Linked DNA regions of Cricetulus griseus. The protein of the gene in region 2 purifies or fractionates together with the protein of the main gene of each other region. This does not show direct contact. Links are inferred from orthologs where the notes say so. Each region holds a gene or a part of one and is shown on either strand. Other genes may lie near its edges.

Region 1 (10,613 bases), on a different chromosome or scaffold from region 2:
GAGAGGGGTTCCTCCTTGAATCTGGAGCTCCATGATTTGGCTAGATTAGTTGGGCAGCAGGCCTCCAGGGATCCTCACAGCTTCACCTCCCCAGCAGTGGGGTTATGCATATACTACTGTCGTCAACTTTTTCTGTCTTGGTGCTAGACATGAAACCCAGGCCCTCATGCTATCGCCCTGAACTCTTGCTGTTTTGATACAGGATCTCATGTAGCCAAGATTAGCCTCAAACTTGACTCTTCCTCTTGAGAGCTAGGATGGCAGATGTGTACTCCTATACCAAGCTAACTCTTTTTGTTTGTTTGTTTGTCTGTCTGTTTGTTTGGGACAGGGTCTCACTGGTTGGCCAGGAGCTCTCTGTGTAAACCAAGCTGACTCATAGAGATTTGCCTGCCTCAGCTTCCCAGTGCTGAGATTAAAGGTGTGCCAACTCTTGAACTCTTAGTGACTCATAAGTCTTGCTAACACAATGGGTCTTTTCTTTCTCCAACTGTCTTGTCCAGATGAACTCTTTGCCAGCAGAGAGGATCCAGGAAATACAGAAGGCCATTGAGCTGTTCTCAGTGGGTCAGGGACCTGCCAAAACCATGGAGGAGGCCAGCAAGCGAAGCTACCAGTTCTGGGATACACAGCCAGTCCCCAAACTGGGTATGTATTTCCTTTTGCAGGTGAGAGCAAGGAATGTGCCTTGGCTGCGCTTCTGTGGGTGTTCTCTAATGGAGAACCACAAGGTCCTAGAGATCTGTGGTGATTGTTTCTAGAGGATTGTCTGTAAAAGGAGCATATAAAAGGCTATTGTTCAGAGTCCTTGTCATGTCACAGTGTCACACTCAGAACAAGCGACCATCATCATCTTAAGTCTACAGAGAACAATGTCTTAGCACATGATGAGTGGGGATGTCTGTCCATGGGTCTATCATCCCACTTAGATTAGTGAAAGACTGTTGTGTTTGTGTGGACGAATGTGAACTCTGGAATGGGAAGAGTCCCCAGAATCCTCCGCTTTCAGCTAATTCAAGCTTACTAAGTTCAAGTAATAGTCAGGACTCAACTCCAAGAATACTATATTTTTCATCAGGTACACTTAAAAAGCCACAGTGAAGCCAGTGGTGGCATACACCTTTATTTCTTGTAGCACCTGGAGGCAGAAACAAGTGGATCTCTGTGTTTGAGGCCAGCCTGATCTACAAGGGTAGTTTCAGTCCATCCAGAGCTACATAGTGAGGCCCTGTCTTAAAATAACACTTAACTGTAAAATGATGTAATAAACTTGTAAAGGGATTAGACAGACGGAAACCCCATATGTATTCCAGAGGTAATTGCACCTGCTGGAGTTAGAGATGTCTGCTAGACCTGAATCATCACAGCTGACCTTGGTCACTGCCCTTGGAGCTTCTGGTGGAGGTTTTGGTTTTGTTTCTGGGACTCTTGGGACCCAATTCTTGTTTCATGTGTATGTAGCTGAGGAAGTAAAGTGTGTGTTGTTTGTTTTCCTTTTTTGAGGGGGGGGGTGTGTTTCTCTGAGTAGTCCTAGTTGTCCTGGAACTCTTAGAACCCAGGCTGGCCTTGAACTCACAGAGAATCACGTGCCCCTGCCTCCCGAATGTTGGGATTAAAGGAATACACCACTACTGCACAGCTCCTGGTGTGTTTTCTTTTTATGTTTTTAAAAAGATTTATCATTTTTTGAAATGACCTGTGTGTCTGTCTGTGAATATAAACACAGAACAACAGGCAGTTGTGAGCCATCCAATACAGGGCTGCCTGGGGATGAATTTTGTCCTCTGCAGCATGTGCTCTGAATTTTTGAGCCCTCTCTCCAGCCCCAAAACACTGGCGAGATGGCTTAGTCATTATAGATGATTGTCTACATTGAGACAAATCATAACGTCCTGAATTGCAGCTCCAGGGTATCCACTGCCCTCTTAGGACCTCTTAGGGTATACACACGTGTGTCATACACATAAAAAAATATGTATCTTTGGGCTAGAGAGATGGCTCAGTGGTTAAGAGCGCTGGCTGCTCTTCCAGAGGTCCTGAGTTCAATTCCCAGCACCCATATATTAACTCACAGGCATCCGTAATGAGATCTGGTGCCCTCTTCTGGCCTGCAGGCATATATGTAGGCAGAACACTGTACACATAATAAATAAATAAATCATTTAAAAAAATGTATCTTTAATAAAAATACCCTCATTAGAGAAGCCTCTCTTTGTAGTAAGAGGTAATTTACACAGTCGAGACCTGGTCAGTGTGCGGCAAGTAAGGGACTGCAGGGTGCTCAGCACTAAGTGGACCCTCACTCCTGTCACTCCTCTCCCAGAGGAGGAGGGAGAACAATTGTGAGAGGTGTAGTAGCCTCAAGGAAAGTGTTCGTCAGGCGCTACAGGGCACAGAGGTCGTGACAGCAAGCACAAGGCCTGCACGAGCTCTTCAGACAAAACCTCAGCATTGTGCAGGGAAGGTGGACACGAAGCCCCACCACCAGCTGAGGAGCTGTTAGCATTTGATAGCCACTGGGAGAGGCAGAGTGGGTTTTCTTTAATGATATGACCCTTGACAGGTTAACTACACACCACTGTGGGCCCCACTCCCACCTCTAGCTGGGCAACAAAATCTGGACTCAATGGAGAAAGAAAAATAAAATCTCAAGTTAGTTAGGTGAGAAGGGTTGCGAAAGTGATAATAGGAGAAGTTTGGAGGTGAATATGTTTAGACATATTGTATGAAATTGTCTAATAAAAATATTATTGAAAATTAAAACAAATCAAGAGTTCAAAGATAGCTTCCAATATGCAGTGAACATGAGGTCAGACTGAAAACTACATACGATCATGTCTCAAAAAGACATTTGCATATTAATGAAATGTTTTTGTTGTTTTTTTGTCATTTTTCAAGACAGGGTTTCTCTGTATTGCTTTGGCTGTCCTGGAATTCACTTTGTAGACCAGGCTGGCCTTGAACTCACAGAGATCCACCTGCCTCTGCCTCCAGAGTGCTGGGATTAAAGGTGTGAGCCACCACTGCCTGGCCAGATATGCCTTTTTATTTTCACATAAAGAGCTAAATCCTGCTGCACATGGACATATCCCTTTACTGTAAACAGAATTTGTTGAATAGATAGCTCATGGTTACGAACACTTGTTCTTGCAGAGGACTCAGGTTCAGTTTCCAGCACCTGTGTGATGGCTTCCAACCATCCATAACTCAAGTTCCAGGGCACTTGACCCCTTCTTCTGACCTCCATGGACACCAAGCACACGTATGATGCATATACATACAAACAGGCAAAACACTCATACACACACAAAAACAAATGAATAAAATGAAATAAATAAGCTTAAAATTTTAGGTGCCTATGCCTGTGTGTGTTGGGTATGTGTTTGCCCTCAGAGGCTAGAAGAGGATGCGATGTCCACACCTGCTAGAACTGGCCTTTCAGGTCCATCATGAGCCACCTGAAATGGGTGCTGGGAACTGCGCTAGAGTCTTCTGGAAGAGCAGCAGTGCTGTTAGTCACCTCACCGTCTTCCAGCCTCCGTTCAATAGTCTTGATCTGAGCCAAGGTTTCTAAGACAGAGTTCATTGATGTTTCATAGCATGTTAGCACGCACAGTGCAGCTTGCCCATGTGTGTTCAGAGCCAAGGCTACATAACACTGCCATGCTTAATTTTCAATTCATTTTTGATATGTGTGTCCAAAACCATTTACTGTTACCAGAACTTTCTTGACAGCCCCACTTTCACATATGCAGGCCTGGGTTAGGACTTCGTTTCAGAAGCTTTGGTCTGGAACAGTTGTTAGGTGCCCTCCATGAGCCTTCTCCATGAGCCTTCAGTCCCTCTTCCAATCATGTCATTCTTTCCTTGTTGAGGGGAACAGGGTTTTTGTTTTGTTTTGGTTTTTTTTTTTTTTTTCTTCCCCTTGACTTTAGCTGTCCCTCTGCAGCTCATAGTCTGTCCTCTGCTGTTTACGGCTCTCGGCTCTGCACAGCAGACATGGGCGGCATGGCACCTCTAACTAGGAAGTAAGTGACTGAGGACAATAGGAACGAGCTTGTACATACTGGTACATACCTGTAATCCCACATTAGGAGGCTAAGACAGGAGGAGTGCTGTGAGCACAAGGCCAGCCTGGGCTACTTAGCACTCTCCTGTCTTAAACAAACAAAACCTTAACTGCTTGACTGCCTGGCTTTCCTCTCTAGTCTCATCTAGTTTTAGTTTCTCCCCTTCATCTCAGCCTCCCAAGCTCTCCCACAGAGGAGGGGGGGTGGTGCCAGAGGGAGACTTCCCGGCAGCATCTGCAGACCTGTGAGTCAGCCCCAAGGCATTTGTAGTGCTCAAAGCACAGAGGCCCTGAGCTGGCAGAGGCAGGCAGTTAGCTGGCCCACAGGGCTGGAAGCTGAAGCTGGAAGGCCAAGAGAGCCTGGCTGCTAGAAGCCGTCATCTGACTGAGGAGTGAGCCCAGTATTCTGTTGTTCTTGACACAAAGGCAGCCTTGTTGCAGCTCCTTACAGATCTCCTCAGGTTAGGGAAGGGTGTGTAGGCTAGAACATAACGACACTGCACCAGCCAGGAGGCAGGAAGCCAGGTTAGCTATGATGAATGTTTGTCACTCAGGAGCCCAAGGGAGATGTACAAGGATTTCCAAAAATGAGCCACCTTGGATCCCAGATATTCTTCTGAGGTTTTGTTGTGCATTGGCCCTCAACCAGGGACCAAAGGTAACTGGAGAGAGAGTTTTCAGTTGCCAAGCATGGAATGTTCTTCAGCTATGGGGTTCCTAGGGCCAGGGGAAATTAGCTCTGATAATGTGTTTTTCCTCAGGTAGGGTCTCATGTAGCTCAGACTGGCCTTAAACTCACTGTGTAGTGGTAGATGACCTCAGAGTTCTGATCCTTCTGCCGCTGCTAAGTGCTGGCTGTAGTCGTGCACCACTGTGCCCAGGATATATAGTACTGAGCCTATAGTACTCAGTACACAAGCAAGATGACCACTCTAGCTGCTGAACCTCATCCCCAGCCTGTAGACCATGTTGGCCTTGAACTCACAGAGATCCGCCTGCCTCGCTGCCTCCAGTGAATGTTTTAAACAAGCTCTCCCTTCCCCCTGGTGGAGCCACCTGTTGACTCCTGGCTGTGCTTTTCTAGGTGAAGTGGTAAATACCCATGGGCCAGTGGAACCTGACAAGGACAACATTCGCCAGGAGCCCTATACCCTACCCCAGGGCTTCACTTGGGATGCCTTGGACCTGGGAGACCGTGGTGTGGTGAGTAGGCCTGATTTGCAGGTGGGACTCTTAGGAGCTGAGCCACAGAGGGCTGAACAGACCCCATCTGGTACTTTCTGGGTGTGCCCAGACTCTACACACTAGTAGTTAGTATCTCATACTTGTAAGGCTGAAAGCTGTCTTCTCAAGTTCCCCATTGTAGAGTCTTTTTTTTTTTTTTTCCCCTTTTATTCCTTTGTCATTGGATTTGTTTTATTTTTGTTTTGCTTTGATTTTTGAGACAGGGTCTCTATTATGTAGCCCTGTCTAGTGTGGAACTCATTCTGTAGACCATGTTGGCCTTGAACTCACAGAGATCCACCTGCCTCTCTGCCTCCCAAGTGCTGGGATTAAAGGTGTGCACCACCACAGCCTGGCCAAAGCAGGCTACTCTTGTGGAGGCATTTTCTCAATTAATACACCCTCTTCCAGATTGTGTTAAGTTGACAAAAATCAGCCAGCACAGTGCATGTGAGTTTGGGGGACCCACAGAGGTCAGAAGCGGTGTAACTCCTGAAGCTACAGTTACAGATGGTTGTGAGCTGCCTGATCTGGGTATTGAGGCATGAGCTTGGTTCCTCTGGAAGAGCGGCAAATCCTCTTAAACACTGACATCTCTCCAGTTCCTTATTTTTATTCTTGATATGGGGGCGTGGGGTGCATAGCCGTGAATGTGCCTGTGCACGTGTGCATCTATATGCTTGGTTCTTGTTTTGTTTTTGAGATAGAGTCTAACTATATGGCCCTAGCAGGCCTGGAACTTGCTAGATGACCAAGGTAGCCTTGAACTCATGGAGCTCCATCTCCCTTCCAAGTGCTGGGATTACAGTCATGTAACACTGTGCCCAGCATTTGTTTTGGGTTTTTTTTTTTAGGTAGATATCTGTTGGTATCGCAGGTATGTGTCACCAACACCTGATTATGTGGTGCTAGGGACCGAACCCAGAGCTCTGTGTGTTGGAACCCGGCATTATGCTGACCTCACCCCCGACAATGGGTGGGACACACAAATTGGCATTCAAGCAGACACTTAGGCAGCTCAAAGGGCCCTGTGTGTGTGGCCATGTCATGGCTATGTCACGGGGCTGCGTAAGGACTCAGTACACATGTGCAAGCTTCTCCTTTTAAGCGGGCAGCTCCACATGTTCTTTCCCTCTCCCTTCGCCCCGCCCCCTCTCTCCTTTCTCCCCTTTCTCTCCCTTCTCTTCTTTCTTTCTCTCCCTCCCCCTTCCCCCTTTTCTTCTTCCTTGTCCCATTAATAAACTCCACATGGGTTTGTTGACTCTTGTGGTTTTTGTTTTCATCTACTCTTCTTGTAAGTGAAACAAAAGAACAAAACTGCACACTGGACTAGTAGACAAATAGTCTACCAACTGAAGTACTCCCCCAGCCACTTTCTTTTTTACCTTTGAGACAGTCTTATTACATAACCCTAGCTGGCCTTGACTTTGAGTCAGGCCTCCTGCTTCAGGCCCCTGAGTGATGAGATTGTAAGTCTGCACCAACACACTGTTATCCGCTTGTTTTGACACCAGAGACCTAGGAATTTCTTTCTGTGTAAGAGCCCTCTGCCCTCAACTCAGGGCTCTAGGGTTCCTCTTGGCTTACTCTCCACCATACCTGGTTTAGGAACAGATCTGTTTGGGGAGAGCAGGGGTGAGGGCTGGAGGATGGGAGATGGGGAAGGATAGACAGTGCGTGTGCCACAGTACCTGTGGAGGTCAGAGGACAACTGTATAAAGTTGTTCCCCTCCTACTTTTATGTGAGCCTAGGGATTGAACTCAGACAGACTTGCACAATAAGTGTTTTTACTTACTTGGGCCAGCTGAGGGAGACAGCTTAAAGGCAGAAAAAGGACAAAAGTCTTTTGGGCTAGATGATAAAAACCAAACTTTTATTTATTTATTTATTTATTTATTTGTATGGCAGTGATGTCCTGGGAGTAAATAGTTTGACAAGCCCCCAAAATCATGTTTACAGAATTTGGGAAGCTTCCTCTGGTGGAGAGACAATATTCTAGACACCACTGTGTACTGAAGTCTGTGGCTCTGCCCCTAGTGCTTCTGTTTCTTATCACACCCATGGGTACTTGTTCTAAAAGAATCCTTGCCATGCCTGGGATGACACAGGTTTGAGAGATTTGAGGTAGTTCTGGCAATTAGCGTTGTCCTTCTGTGAAGCTCAGAGCCACAGGGCATTGGAGTTGGCTTCCACTGGGCAGAGCACTTCAGTGAGCTACTCATTTCTCTGCAGCTAAAAGAACTGTACACCCTCCTGAATGAGAACTACGTGGAAGACGATGACAACATGTTCCGATTTGATTATTCCCCAGAGTTTCTTTTGTGGTAAGTTGTAAGGGTGTCTTTAATATAATTTTATTTAACTTGTAAACAGTGAAAATTTACTTCTCATGGATCTGGAGGCTAGGAAATCAAAGGATCCCAAGGGCTTAATGTCTGGTAAAGGCCTGCTCTCCGGCTCCAAGAGCTCTTCCAGTTTTAAGGGCAAAGCAGATAGCAGAACCACAAAGGAACATGGAGTTCTCCTCCTTCCCAAGAGCCAGCCTTTGAGTGGCAAACTGCTTTGTGCTTGAGTTCGTGCATCTGGAGACTTGCTTTAAGTGGTGCTTAGAGCTGAAACCTTCCTTAAAATAGATGGGCTGAGGGAGACATGCAGAGTTGGTGCCCAGAAACAAAGATCATCTACCATATGGTGACCTTTTCAAGGGGAGAAGGGCAGATGAGACCTACTAAGATTTGAAAGAAAAGTTCTTTACTATCCAGTTAATGAGCATGCTCAGTTATAGAAAATGGCCTACCCTGCATGAGCCATCTACTACCCTGGGCTACATTTAGCATCTAAGAAGATAGAGGCATGAGGCTGAAGTGGCATGGGTTCACCCCAATGGATAGGGGAAGCAGAAAGAGAAGAGATGCTCCAAGGGGCAGATGGCAAACCCCAGGGTTTCCAAGTTAGTCCCTAACCAAAAGACCACTGGCCTCCAAATGACAGTCCTCTAGTTCAAGCTGTGAGATGAACATAAACACTAGCCATGTTGGCACATGCCTGTAAAACCAGCACTTAGGAGATAAAGACAGGCAAATCTCTGCATTCAAAGCCAGTCTGTTGTACATAGAGGGTTTCAGGGCAGTTGAAGCTACATAGTAAGACCCTGTTTCGAAAAACAAAAACACAGACCCTAGCAAAGGGGTGTACTTATGGCAGAACCAGGATGGTCACAAGTTTGAAGACAGCCTAGGGTGCATAGAGAGCCTGTTTCAAAAAACAACAACAAATAAGACTGGGCTGTGTGGCTTAGTGCCAGAGAACTTGTTGGAATATATGTGCAAGCCTGGGAACAATCTCCAGCATGACCGGGACAAAGATGCTTTCGAGAAATGCCTGTGACTTGATTCTGTCGGAGTCTAGGACGCCTTCGTCCTAAAGAGAACGTGGTTGTTAACGCCCAGGCAAGTGGTAATGCCAGCTCAGGACCCAGCATGGCTCTGGAGCCTAAGCAGCTCTCCAGCCTGCTGTAAGTGGTACCACAGCTCCTGTCCTCATCTTTGTTCCAGGGCTCTCCGGCCACCTGGCTGGCTCCCACAGTGGCACTGCGGGGTTCGAGTGGTCTCAAGTCGGAAACTGGTTGGGTTCATCAGTGCCATCCCAGCAAACATCCACATCTATGACACGTAAGCATCAGCACTTGTCACCACCATCTTGCTGGTCTGGGAGGAAAGGGAAGAAGAAAGCTGTGTGTTTACCTGTGAAAGGAAGATGGAGGCATCTGTATGCTGGGAGTAAAACTCAGCATGGGAACCACGTGCTTTGACATTTATCATGGCCCTTTAATCACAGCACTTGGGTGGCAGAGGCGGGTGGATCTCTGAGTTCAAGGCCAGCCTGATGATCTACATAGCAAGTTTCAGGCCAGCCAAGGCTGCATGGTGAGACTGTCCCTGAATTGTAGCTGGTTGCTTTGTCTGTGACTTTGCTGAGGCCATCCACTTCTGCATTCCTGCCCCAGTCACATGGTTATACAATTGAGCAGCTTCAGAAATGGGCAGGAGCTAGTGTGGCACCGATTCAGATGGTCTCACAGTCATCTGCTGCAGTCTTCTGGATCCACAGGCTGTAGATTCTTGTGGGTATCAAAATCTTAGATTATCTGTCAGTAGTGGTTCACACCTATAATATAAGCTACATCTTGGGAGGTAGAAGAAGGAGGGTCGATGGCTCAGGGCTGGCCTGAGTTACTTATCGAGTTCAAGATCAAGCTTGTCTCAGATCCATACTAGCCTTGATTTACTCTGGGGTTTCTTAATGCTGCTTCATCGTCTGCTGCAGGTGGTACTCCTCAGCCTACTCACAGGGACTCCCCAGGGTGGTGCTAGTGGTGCCTGCAGATAAAGTATTCACAGGCTTCCCACTTGCCTTTTGAGTAGAGAATGTGAGGCAAGCTTGCCAAGTAGAAACTGGTAGTGGGTGGGATCCCCAGTAGTGACAATGACAGCAAAATGCACACCTTCAGGTGTAGCACTGCCTAATTTGAAGAGATTCCATTCCTGTTGTGTGGGAAAAACCTTAGCCGTCAGCATTTTGCCTCCCTCTCAAGAGAGAAGAAGATGGTGGAGATTAACTTCCTGTGTGTCCACAAGAAGCTGCGCTCCAAGAGGGTGGCTCCAGTTTTGATCCGAGAGATAACCCGGAGGGTTCACCTGGAGGGCATTTTCCAAGCTGTTTACACTGCTGGCGTGGTATTGCCAAAGCCTGTTGGCACCTGCAGGTAAAAATGTCTTCCTGTGGGTCTTGGGAGTGCTGGCTATAGCTGAGGAGTAATGTCACTAAGACATAGCATTGCCCTGCTCTGTGCCTGCTCAGTGGGGTGTGGATGGCTGGATAGCTGGCCGCAGCCAGGTGGAGAACATTTTGGGAATGTGAAGGAGGTGTGATTCAGACCAGTTGCAAAGAGATTCTCAAATCGGATTACCACCAGTTACAGATGAGGGTTTTGTTTAAAGTATGAGGCCAAATTTGGGTTTTTATAGAAAATGCCTTTTAGTTTTAAGTATTTGGCTTAGCTTCATTAATGAATATTTTGTGGATCAAAGAGAACTTGTCTGATCCTGTGTGATCTAAGGACAGCCTTCACCTTGGAAAGGTGTTTGAAACGATTGAATAATCTCTGCCTAGAGAACTGCAAAAATAATAACTCGAGGTGAATACAGAAGAGGAAAGAGAGGCGGGTAAGCGTGTCTGCCCGTCTTCTGGGCACCCTTGTCAATCTGCCACTGACCTGGTTCCAGGACCCGATTGTGCTCCCCAGACAGCTACTCTAAC
Region 2 (11,222 bases):
CTGTATGTTTACAGTCATGTTCACATGCTTAACTCTGAGTTTCAAAATTTCAGCAATTACTGAAATATAGGAATACCTCCTTAACATACTGATCACAAAGCAATAAATAACTCGACCCTCAACACTAATTTTACCACTGGGGCTGATGCACAAAAGTCTTCCCTTTTGTAACTATGTTCACTATTGTTTAACACTTTCTCTTTTTTTCACTGAAGCCAGGTAAGGAAAAATAATATGAGAGACTCTCTGAATTATAGGTTAAAAAAAATGTATTCAGAATAGAGTGAGCCTATATCAGGTTTTAGATTTTTTTCTCCACAATTCTTTACAAAAAACTGTGACAAGCACTTCTTTTCTGTAGGGCAGAGGCAGAGACAAGTAGGAGGTGGGGATTTATCTTGTTCTTTGCCTTTCTTCTGTATGTGAGAAGTGGTTCCCCAGAGGCTATCTACAAGAAACAACCTTGAGCAATAAGATAAAGGGCTCTCTCACGGGAGTGCACCTGTGCTCTACCTACCTACATACTAACACCAGTGATGAAGACTTAGCTGAAAGCAGATTGCTTTAATCCCTTTCCCACTGCCTGTCACTAGCAGCCAACCTCGGAGAGATTAACATAGAAAGAATTCTTTAATCTGTTAACCCCTTTCTAATTCCTAAACCCCTAAGTCATTTCCAGCAACCTTACTAAAGATCCCAAGAATGTTTCTTACCATTTTTGCTTCCCTTCAAAATCAAAGAAGTTTGGTTTAGGAATATTGCAGTTTCCAACTTTGACCTAAAAGAGGAAGGGGGGGGGGGGAAATAACAAGAATTTATTTTAGTTTTCTAAAGAATGTCTAAGGACTTTTTATTTTTCAAATTTATTATGTATATTTAGTAACTATAGATTAGAAAATATTTAAATATATATAGGATAACAATTTTAACATTCTCTGCAAAGCAGACAAAAGTTCAAATACTTCAAATTAAAAACACCAGCAGCACCAGGTGTGGTGATGTACACCTTTAGCAGGGGCAGGTGACTCTCCGTGCACTCAAAGCTCTCTATGAGTTCAGGGCCCTCCTATTCTACACAATGTACTCCAAGCCAGGCAGGACTACACAGTGAGACTCTGTCTAAATTATCTAATTACTTATATGAAAACACCACCTAGGCTTTCTATATGAGGTAATTGCTAAGTAATACTGTAACTTATAAAACAAGCTACAGATAAAATTATAGTCTTTACTGCCATTAAAATAGAATTTTATGCTGGGCAGTGGTGGCTCACCCCTTTAGTCAGCACTCCAGAGGCAGAGGCAGGTGGATCTCCCTGAGTTCAAGGCCAGCCAAGGCTACATGTCTTGAATCCGGCACCAAAATATAATTTTCTAAGTTGTAATTTATTCCTGTGTGTGGTGTGTGCGTGCCGGGGATTGGGAAGGTCAGAGGGCCGCTCTGTTGTGCAGGTTCTCTTTCGGGCTTCCACAACACATGCTTTACATGCATAACCATTTCACCGGTAATTAACAGAAGTTAAAGTTTGGTTTTTCAGAATTCATATATATTGGGTTTTTTTATGATCATTTTCACGACTCTACTAGCATTTTATCTCTCCTCAAATCTAGGATAAATTGTACTAAAAATGTACTATTTTAAAAGAGACACATTGGCCGGGCATGGTGGTGCATGCCTTTAATCCCAGCAATCTGTGAATTCAAGGCCAGCCTGGGCTACAGAGTGAGTTCCAGGACACCCAGGAATACACAGTGAAAACCTGTTTCAAAACAAACAAAACAAGAACCTAAATAAAAAGCACCACAGTAAATAAATTTAGACGTCAAAAGCTGGGGTGGGACTTAGGTGTGTCAACATAATATAAACCCCAAGTGGTCAATACTTACGTTGTTTTAACTCCTGAACCCCCTTACTTCTACCTCTCAAAGCTAGGGGGGAGGAGGGGTAATCCTGAGTGCTGGGATTAAAGGTGTGTGTGTGTGTGTGTGTGTGTGTGTGTGTGTGTGTGTGTGCACGCGCGCGCGTGCACCAGCCAAGATCTAAATTTCTAATCTATATATATGGCGGATAAAATCTACACATACTAAAGCTCTTTGGAGAGTTTAATTCTAAGAGGCAAAAGAAATCACAGGAACCACATAACCAGAGTTCGAGAACTCCTGTTTCAAGTTCTGCTTTCATGGCCAGAGAAGCTCAAAATCAGTATGCATGTTCTAGCTCAGGCAACGCAGGAGGAAGAACCTTTTGTTTTTTGACTATTTAATTTTATTCATTTTGTGTGTGTATGTGAGCTGGACACTTGCAAGCCACAGTGTGTATGAAAGTCAGAGGATAACTTTCAGGTCAGTTTTCTCTCTCTGACATGAGTTCCAGAGATTGGATTCAGGTTGTCCAGCCTGCTGGGCAAATGCTTTTATACACTAAGCTGTTTCACTGGCTGCCCTAATTCCTCATCTCCTACAACATTTCCGTATGAGTAGGCATGCCTGGTGCCTGCCAAGGCTGGAAGAGGTCATCAGATCTACTGGAAATGGAGTTACAGACAGGTGTAACCTGCCACTTGTGGGTCCTGGAGACTGAACCCAGATCTTATGCAAGAGTGACAGGTACTCGTAACCACTGGGCTAGCTTGCTAGCACCCCCACCTTTGTTTTTAAGCAAAATATTTTACTATAATTTTCAAAAAAATCCAGTCCTATAAGTAGGCAAAAGTTGCATGGCCTGAGTACTATAGTTGGTATTTATAGTCTGTCCCCTTTTGTAGATGTAGCAAAGTCCAGCAGTTGATATGATTTTAGAGATGCCAGACTGGCCAACTACTCAGATTAGCTAAATCAGCAACTGAGGTCAATGACATATCCTGCCTCAATGAATATGGTAGAGAGCAAGTGAAGAAGATATCAACTCGCCATCAATCTCTAGCCTCTACACACATATACATACATACACACACACACACACTCTACACATGTGAATACAGACACAAGAAAAAATAATAAATTATACCTTTAAAACATTTATTCACTTATTTAAAAATAAATCTAGTACATGGTAATGTAAATTTTTCATAAAAAATTACTACACTCTAACCTAAAAAGAGAAAAAAACCAGGAAAATTGCTCTGCCATTTTTAAAAATCTCTTCACTATTGGGCATACTTGTATTGTCATACTTCTGCATCCAATCTCTCACTGTACATTTGGTTTGGATGGAGCCCATGAAGCAGTTTCAGTTTCACATAAACACACTGTTAGAAATTACTATTTGTGTAGCACTCCCACCAACTATGGAGATTCTTTGATACAAAACTCAACAAATGGTAGTTTCTCCAAGATTAGTTATGATGTGGAATCTGAACTTACTGTGAATCTTTTATACAGTTATAGTGAAAACCACTCCCCTGGTTTTCATTTTGATTGGAACTTTTGCTCAAACTGATTTTTAACATTACTCCATGAAAAGATATTTAGAAAAGATTCCATTCAGTCATTCAGCATTTCCAAATGTTGACATTATACATGAGCGAAATTTCACACTCATTACTGCCAGCATCGCATGAAGAGTACTATATAAGCTGTCAAGCTCACTGTGGCAGACCCCCACTTTTTCCAAACTTCTACTTTTCATTTGACAACTCAAATATGATCACTGGCAACAAATATTTACAGCTGTTTTCCAGGCTCACTTCTTTCATTTTCAAGAAACTATCTGTCAAACACCCAAATCTAAACAATTTATATAGTTTTTGATAAGTAAAAATGAAGTCCCATGGAAAAAGGACATAGTTAAGTTTGTGACTCAATTACAGCTGTGATTTTCCCATTTCCTCAAAATCGCCAATATAATCTGGTAACAGAAGTGCTTGTGTGTTTCTCCCATCACACAATTGTTTGTTTGTTTTGGGATGGCGTCTCATTGTGTAGCTCTGGCTGACCTGGCACTTACTGTGTTTACCAGGCTGGTCTTGAACTCAACGGCCGATCACTGACTTTACCTCCCCAAAGCACAGCCTGCACAATCACACCCTGAATCACACAAAATGTTGAACAAGACTTGTATACCAATCTCTCTCGGGCCACACCATTATTAGCAAGATCACTCCATTCAGTGTATCTTTAAGAATACAGAACAGGTCAGAAAGATGGCTCCATAAGTAAAGATGCTTGCCACTCTGCCTGATGACCCCTATGATGGATGGAGAGAACCAAGTCCTGCAGGTTGTCCTCTGACCTCCACCTGAACACTGTCACACATGTGTACACACTAAAAACGTAATCAGAAATACATGAGGGTCCTCACACTTACCTAAAAAAGAGAATTCAGGAGAAATATATAACTATACCAAGAGGCATTTTCTCTATTCTAATAAAATAAGAGGTTTATTATCCAGAGCTTCATTTCTTTCAACGTTTCCAAGAGCTGGGGTTTTCCTGAGCTGCTATTTAAGTCATCATCAATTTTTCACATTTCCCATCTAGATTCCTTAAGTAACCCTGTAAGCCTCTGGAGGGCAGTGTCATGTTCTTTCATCTTTGCATTCTCTGTAGACATGACATCTAGTGTTAGGCTGAACTGTATCTGTTAACTGTGATAAAGCAATTGTTTTTTCCTTTTGGTACCTAACTTTGAATGATAAATTAGTTTTACATATGTAACTCATACATTTCCTTATCGTTAGGTAAAGTTCAGTCTTACGAGTCAGAAACTACTTTAATTCTAATATATCCATGTGACCTTCTGAGCTGCCTACTCCCCTGGGTTTTTTGTTGTGTATTTGTAAAAGAAAGTGATGATGGAAGCTGAGTCAAGAGTTCATCACCTGCTCCTCATGTTGCCAACATGGAACCCTATACAAAAAGAGGTGTGGGGGGGGCTATATCTAACAGAACCAAATTCAGCCAAAAGCATGTCAACTATATTTAGAGTTTCTAAAAATCGCAATAGTAACAGTGTATTGTGTTTTATATAGAGAAATATTCTCTTAAACTTCAAATTTATTGTTAACATTACCATATTTTCTATCACATGTTCTTTTGGCAGCAACGAATGACAAAATTTTATTTTGTCATTCTCGTTTTTGTAAAGGTTCAGGCGCAAGGCCACTAATGAGAGAACAGAAATAGTGTCAGTGTCCAGTCAAGTAAATAATCATTCGTAAGATAGCAGGGGGATTTTTCCATGTCCGGAATGATGCTATTCTCTACCGTCAACAAACACACACAAAAGAAAAAGAAAAAAAAAAAAACTTAACACATACACACACACACTTCATTACATTCCACCATTAGCCCGGCACACCTCTGTAAGTTTTTGGAGGAAGACGCCCGTGCCCTGTCTTATCCACCCATCTTTTACCTGCTTGTACCTGGCATACAGGTACAAGAGCTGCTCCCTGCTGGCCACATGAACCAGGCCTTGGACGTGTGCAGCAGCCTTCTCAAACAGCTCGTCCAGGTTCCGGGATGCCTCGGTCTCAGGGTTCTGGGAGGATTCCATCTCACCGGAGTCGTCCCCGGAGCTCAGTTCCCCACCGCTGTCGCCTGTGGTGGCCCCTGCGGGTAGGAACGGGGTGGCCATGTCCACTAGCTCGATATGCTCTGTCCTCACTGGTGTGACGCCTCCTCCCGGGCCTGGACCACTAGTCTGGTGCGAAGCCCGGGCAGCAGTGGGACGCCGCTAGCTGTGTGGCTTTCTCAGGTGACTCTGCCACTTGACCTGCCCGGGGGCGTAGGGCCGCCTCTGCGAAGCCTGGCAGCTCTCCCCGGGCCGCCCCGTCCTCCTTCGGCTTTCCTCGGTCGGACCGAGTGCCTGGCCTCGCCCGGGTCGCTCCAACGGCGCGGGGGTCTGGAGGCCGCTAGGCAGGGAGGTGATGGGAAGCCACCGGCGCGCGGCGGACCACTGCCACCGGAGCTAGGTGGGGAAGCGCGGGGCGCGAGCTCGGCGGGACGCGCTCCGGAGCACGCGCCCGTGGCTACGCCGCCCCGCCTGCCCCGCGTGCGAGCCCACGCCCTTCCCCGAACGGGGTCGTGGGTTAGGGCGGAGAGAGTTGGAGAGACCGGCCTCAGTTATGGAGGAGTTTGCTCGTGGTTTGAGGCTAATTCGGAGTCACAAACTCCGGAACTCATCCGGATAGGCCCCCGGGGAAGGGGAAGGAGGCGGTCCATTCGGTGGTGTAGCTGCAGAATCGGCGTCGCGGGAAACAGGGAGTTGAGGAGGAAAGTTCCGCTTTCTCCTAACCACCCAAGTCAGTGCTACCCAGGCTCCCACAGACCCTCTCTTGCCTGTTCCTCGATATCTTGGCTGTGTTTTGAATGGCAAGTGAACGGCTGATGGAGCCTTCACTGCCCCACCGTGTGTCTAAATAGCCAAATGACCTTCCTCAATGTTTTGTTTTCCATACCTGCTGATCCCTCATTTCCCAGGGCTCTGAGAGAAGGTTTCACCAGGCCCCCAGACCCACCTTCTTTAGCATCATCTCATCTCATACTTGGCTGATACATTTCTCATACATCTTAAAATCAAATCCATAGCTCTGCCCTAAAGGAACAGAGCTTGTCTGTGTTCAGCACACTGTCAAAAATGAAAACTACACGGACACACAAACTTCATTACACCTACCCACCAACCATGCATATTTGCCACATTAGCTACCGGCTTTTAAGAAAGCCCCATTTTGGTATTCTCTCATGCAGGGACTTGAGAACCTCACTGAATGCTCTCAGTTGTTGGGGTGACTCATATAAGTGTGTGTGTGTGTGTGTGTGTGTGTGTGTGTGTGTGTGTGTGTAGAAGGTGGTAATAATAGTAAAAACTTCCACCAACCCAAAAACGGAATGTCATCAGATACTTTCTTGGATATAGAAAAGCTTCTCCCATCTCATTTTTACTGCTTTTCTGATGTACCCACCAAAGTATTTTAAGCTTTCTTTGATTTATGACTTTCTTTATTCTGTAAAACTATGAAACTACTTCCACATTGGAACATGGAATTTGGGGTAACCTAAATTTGTGTTCCCCAGGCAATGGTCACTCAAGGTGACTCCAGAATAAACTTTACCATTTAAGATGAGTGTGGTAGGTTAAATAATATGAGCCCATAGGCTCATATATTTGAATGCTTCCTTATCAGGGAGTAGCACTACTTAAAAAGGATTAAGAGGTGTGACCTCCTTAGGGTAGACACTGCCTTGATGGAGGAAGTCAGTCACTGGGGCTGGGTTTTAAGGTTTCAAAGGCCCAAGCCCAAACCCAGTGACTTTCTCTTTCTTCTGCATACCAATCCAGATCCAGATGTAGAAACTCACAATTATTTCTCCAGCACCTTGTCTGCCTGCTTGCTGCCAAGCTTCCTGCCATGATGATAATGGACTAAACCTCTGAAACCTTAAGCAAGCCCCCGTTAAGTGTCGTTGCCATGGTGTCACTTCACAACAACAGAACATTGACTAAGACAATGAGGGATGTGGTTTTTGCATCATCAGTGGCTAGTATGTTCTAAATGTTGTAAATGCACACATACTCATTTATCACTAAAACCACCAATAAGCATAAGGCTAATTACAAAGAATGGTTATTGGCCACTTGGGATTAAGCTTTAAAAGAAGTTTGGACAGGATGAGCAAACAATGAGAAACAGAAGGTAAAAGGCCTGGATCTGAATTCAACAAACTTTTTTTTTTGAGAATAGAGAATCAATGGTTCCACCATTAGTCCCTCCTCAAAAGGAATAACAAGGACAAATGTACATGTTTAAAATATGATAACTGGAAGAAATATGCCAGTGGAGTACGGCTGAAATCCAGCTCCAGTGGGGCTGAGGTCCTAAAGAGGAGGCCTGGAGTTAGTGAGGGGGAGGGAGACTGACAAGATCTAAGGGTGAACTGGGATGACTACCATTTTATTGAAAAAAGGCTACACCTTTTTATACTTATAAGTGTACAATCGTTTAGCCACAGGCAAGTTTGAAAGCAGACTCAATGATTCCGGGATGAAAGTGGCCATCAACTTTATCACAGCATTTTTCCAAAGACAAAAATGATACATTCGGCAAGTGTCTAAATGCCTATTGTTCTCTAAGGTTCAGTAACTCCATCAGGCATCCTTTTACATCAGCGGAAGGGCCACCAGTTCCTCTTGTTAGAGATAAGGAAAATGATTCCTTTACCAAGCAGGAACTTTCCTCAAGCCCCTGAGGAATGGAGGTTCTTATCCAAATGCCTGATCTTGGGAAAAGGACTTCCTTTGGGGGGCATACACTCCACTACAATAGAAGAGCATTCTTCAAGGGGAATGATGTAGCAAAAGCACTGTACTGTTTTCTAATTGTGTCTCAGTCTTACTATATGGGCCTGACCCCTGATAGGCTCCCAAAAGGGAAGGTCCTGACTGATGTCTTACTCTTTTTCCATTTTACCATATCATTCTGATTTCTCTACACTTTTTAACTGAACTGTTGCCAGGCTCTGGATCTGGACTTTTATGCATTTCATACTTGGGATCAGGTGTGTCCAGCTAGTAATATGTGTTGTTAGTTATTTGTTTTAGGCTCAGCTAAATCTGAACATATCAAAGAAGTTGATCCTGTACGAGATGACTGACAGTTAAACTTGCCTATCTTATATGATTAGGATTTTATAGCTTTATCCTTGCTAAGGTTATACTTAAAAAAATAACAATTTCTGAGTGGAAACTCTTTTAATATCAAGATAAGACTTAACTCATAAACACAGTCCACAAAGAGACTGGGATCTTCCCTGATCCTTTTATACTACAACATTATAGAACACAACAGTTTTCTGTATGACTTAGTTTACCAAACTAGCTACAGCTTAACAATGTTAAGCAAGGAAGTTAGGCATACATTCCTAAGTCAGTCTCTGTTGCCTAAATAGACCTTACGTAAGGAGAGACCTTTTGCAAGACTGCTTAGATCATGGTCTTGCTTCCTCATGAGATGGGTGTATCTCGGACAGGCAAAGGCCCAGAGGCCACAGACCTGGAATGTCTTTTGCTTCTGCTGTGCCTTTACATGTTTGTTGCTGCTATCTTTCTCTGGTATCTGGAATGATGTGAATGGATGTGGGGAGACCCCCCACTGTCTATAATGTAGTGTATTTATCTCATGGAAACATCCCAATCTACTGGGAACTTTTCTCTGTGGATTATCATAAAGATGATTTCTCCCTAAACTGTACTGTCTAGTCTAATTGATAATAATAATGTTAGCTTATATAGTTTTGATAAATGAAAATAAACACAAGGAAATGCCACACAGCTGGGGCCTAAGAGTTTCATCTAAGGAGCCGCATAGGCCATAGCTCAAGTTAATGATTAAGAAAAACAGTTGTGTCCAGGAGCCAATCTGGCTCAAATTCCTTTAATCTTAATGCTGAAAGACACTGTCACAGGTTTCAGTGTGCATCATTAGCCGAAATAGAAACAAAGCTTTAAAATAACTTGAGGTTAGATCAGATGCTTTGATAACAGTTTTAAGATGAAAAATCCTAGAAAACAATCTAAAGTTCACAAGGACACAAAGCTGATGTAAAAAAATATAAAGCAGCAAGGCTGGAGAGATGACTCAGAGGTTAAGAGCACTGACTGCTCTTCCAGAGGACCAGAGTTCAATTCCCAGCAACCACATGGTGGCTCACAACCATCTGTAATGAGATCTGGTGCCCTCTTCTGGTGTACAAGCATACATGCAGATAACTGTATACATAATAAATAAATAAAATCTTTAAAAAATATATAAAGCCGCCCAATTGTTACTAGCTAATGTACTTTCCTTGCTAGGGTTGGTTGACCAGAGGTTATGATTCCTTGTACCCATTTCTGCTCTCAATCTCCTGATATAAAAATCTATTGATGAGTGGGTATGCACCCTAAATGTTAAGTAGAGTTGACTGATTCTTTTTCATATATAAAAGTTTAGATTTGTGATTCCCTTAAGATTCCTTATAAGATTCCCATTCAAGATAAGCAATAAAAAGTAATTGACTTTTTCTTTGTAACTGCAAAATGCAGCCTGCCAGTAAAAGACCTGACTAAGAATATCTTGCTTGCCCACATAGTTAATGTATAACAAGTTGCTTGGTTATGAATGTACATGGGAATGTTCTTGGGATAATTTGTTTTTTACCTGGAAAACATCAAATATTTAATCACATAAAGTATATGAAAAAACATGCTGTTTTTCTTTTACTCATTGTAATCATTCACTTGAAAAACAGAATGTAACCACATTGTAATTTCTATATTTCCTGATATACTTTGTTGGGATAAATAAGTGTTACTGGAGTTTCTTGTCCCACCAGGTCCTGCCACTTCAGCCCCAAATGAACACAGAGAGATGCTATATTAATTATAAAACTATTGGCCAATGACTAGGGCTTCTTTTTTTTTTAGATTTTATTTATTATGCATACAGTCTTCTGCCTGCATGCCAGCAGAGGGCACCAGATCTCATTAGAGGTAGTTGTGAGCCACCTTGTGGTTGCTGGGAATTGAACTCAGGACCTCTGGAAGAACAGTCAGTGCTCTTAACTGCTGAGCCATCTCTCCAGCCCCGACTAGGGCTTCTTATTGGCTAGCTCTGTCTTAATTATTAACCCTAACTATAAATTTATGTATTTCTACATGGCCTTTTCTTACCAGAGAATGCCTGGTGTGTCCTATCCTTCCGGTCTCTACATGGCGTCCCTTCGAGGTCCATCCCTGCCTACATTTCCCAGAATGCTTCTCATCTCTTAGTCCTGCCTATCTTCTTGCCTCTATTGGCCAAACAGAATTTTTATTCATCAACTAATAAGAGAAACATATATACAGAAGGACATCCCCCATCATATAAGCTGTAGGGAAAAAAGTATGAGAACACAGAAGGAAGAGGAGGAGGGGGAGGAAGGAGAGAGAGAGAGAGAGAGAGAGAGAGAGAGAGAGAGAGAGAGAGAGAGAGAGAGCAAAGAAGAAACCATCAGACTGGAGAGATGGCTCAGTGGTTAAGAGCACTGGCTGCTCTTCCAGAGGTCCTGAGTTCAATTCCCCCCAACCACATGGTGGCTCACAACCATCTGGGCCCCTCTTCTGGCCTGCAGGCATACATGCAGACAGAATGCTGTATACATAATAAATAAATCTTAAAAAAATAGAAAAAATATGAAGGAAACCATCAAGAGAGAGTGTGTCTTTTTCCTCTTACCCCCTCAGATAAAAATGTCTAGTA

What was found.
Region 1: the proteins of Acbd6 (region 2) and Nmt1 purify together in Homo sapiens (co-immunoprecipitation; 3 studies listed by BioGRID and IntAct, with this or other methods). This does not show direct contact. The link is inferred for Cricetulus griseus from reciprocal best matches to the Homo sapiens genes ACBD6 and NMT1.

The regions. Positions count from the first base shown.
Region 1 is NC_048600.1:115,075,359-115,085,971, reverse strand, and holds part of Nmt1 (glycylpeptide N-tetradecanoyltransferase 1), read left to right. Parts: intron 1-503; coding exon 504-648; intron 649-5,153; coding exon 5,154-5,272; intron 5,273-7,526; coding exon 7,527-7,618; intron 7,619-8,848; coding exon 8,849-8,965; intron 8,966-9,888; coding exon 9,889-10,059; intron 10,060-10,613.
Region 2 is NC_048598.1:36,206,787-36,218,008, forward strand, and holds the start of Acbd6 (acyl-CoA-binding domain-containing protein 6), read right to left. Parts: upstream 6,168-11,222; 5' UTR 5,579-6,167; coding exon 5,357-5,578; intron 779-5,356; coding exon 714-778; intron 1-713. UniProt on the Homo sapiens protein: Binds long-chain acyl-coenzyme A molecules with a strong preference for unsaturated C18:1-CoA, lower affinity for unsaturated C20:4-CoA, and very weak affinity for saturated C16:0-CoA. Does not bind fatty acids. Plays a role in protein N-myristoylation.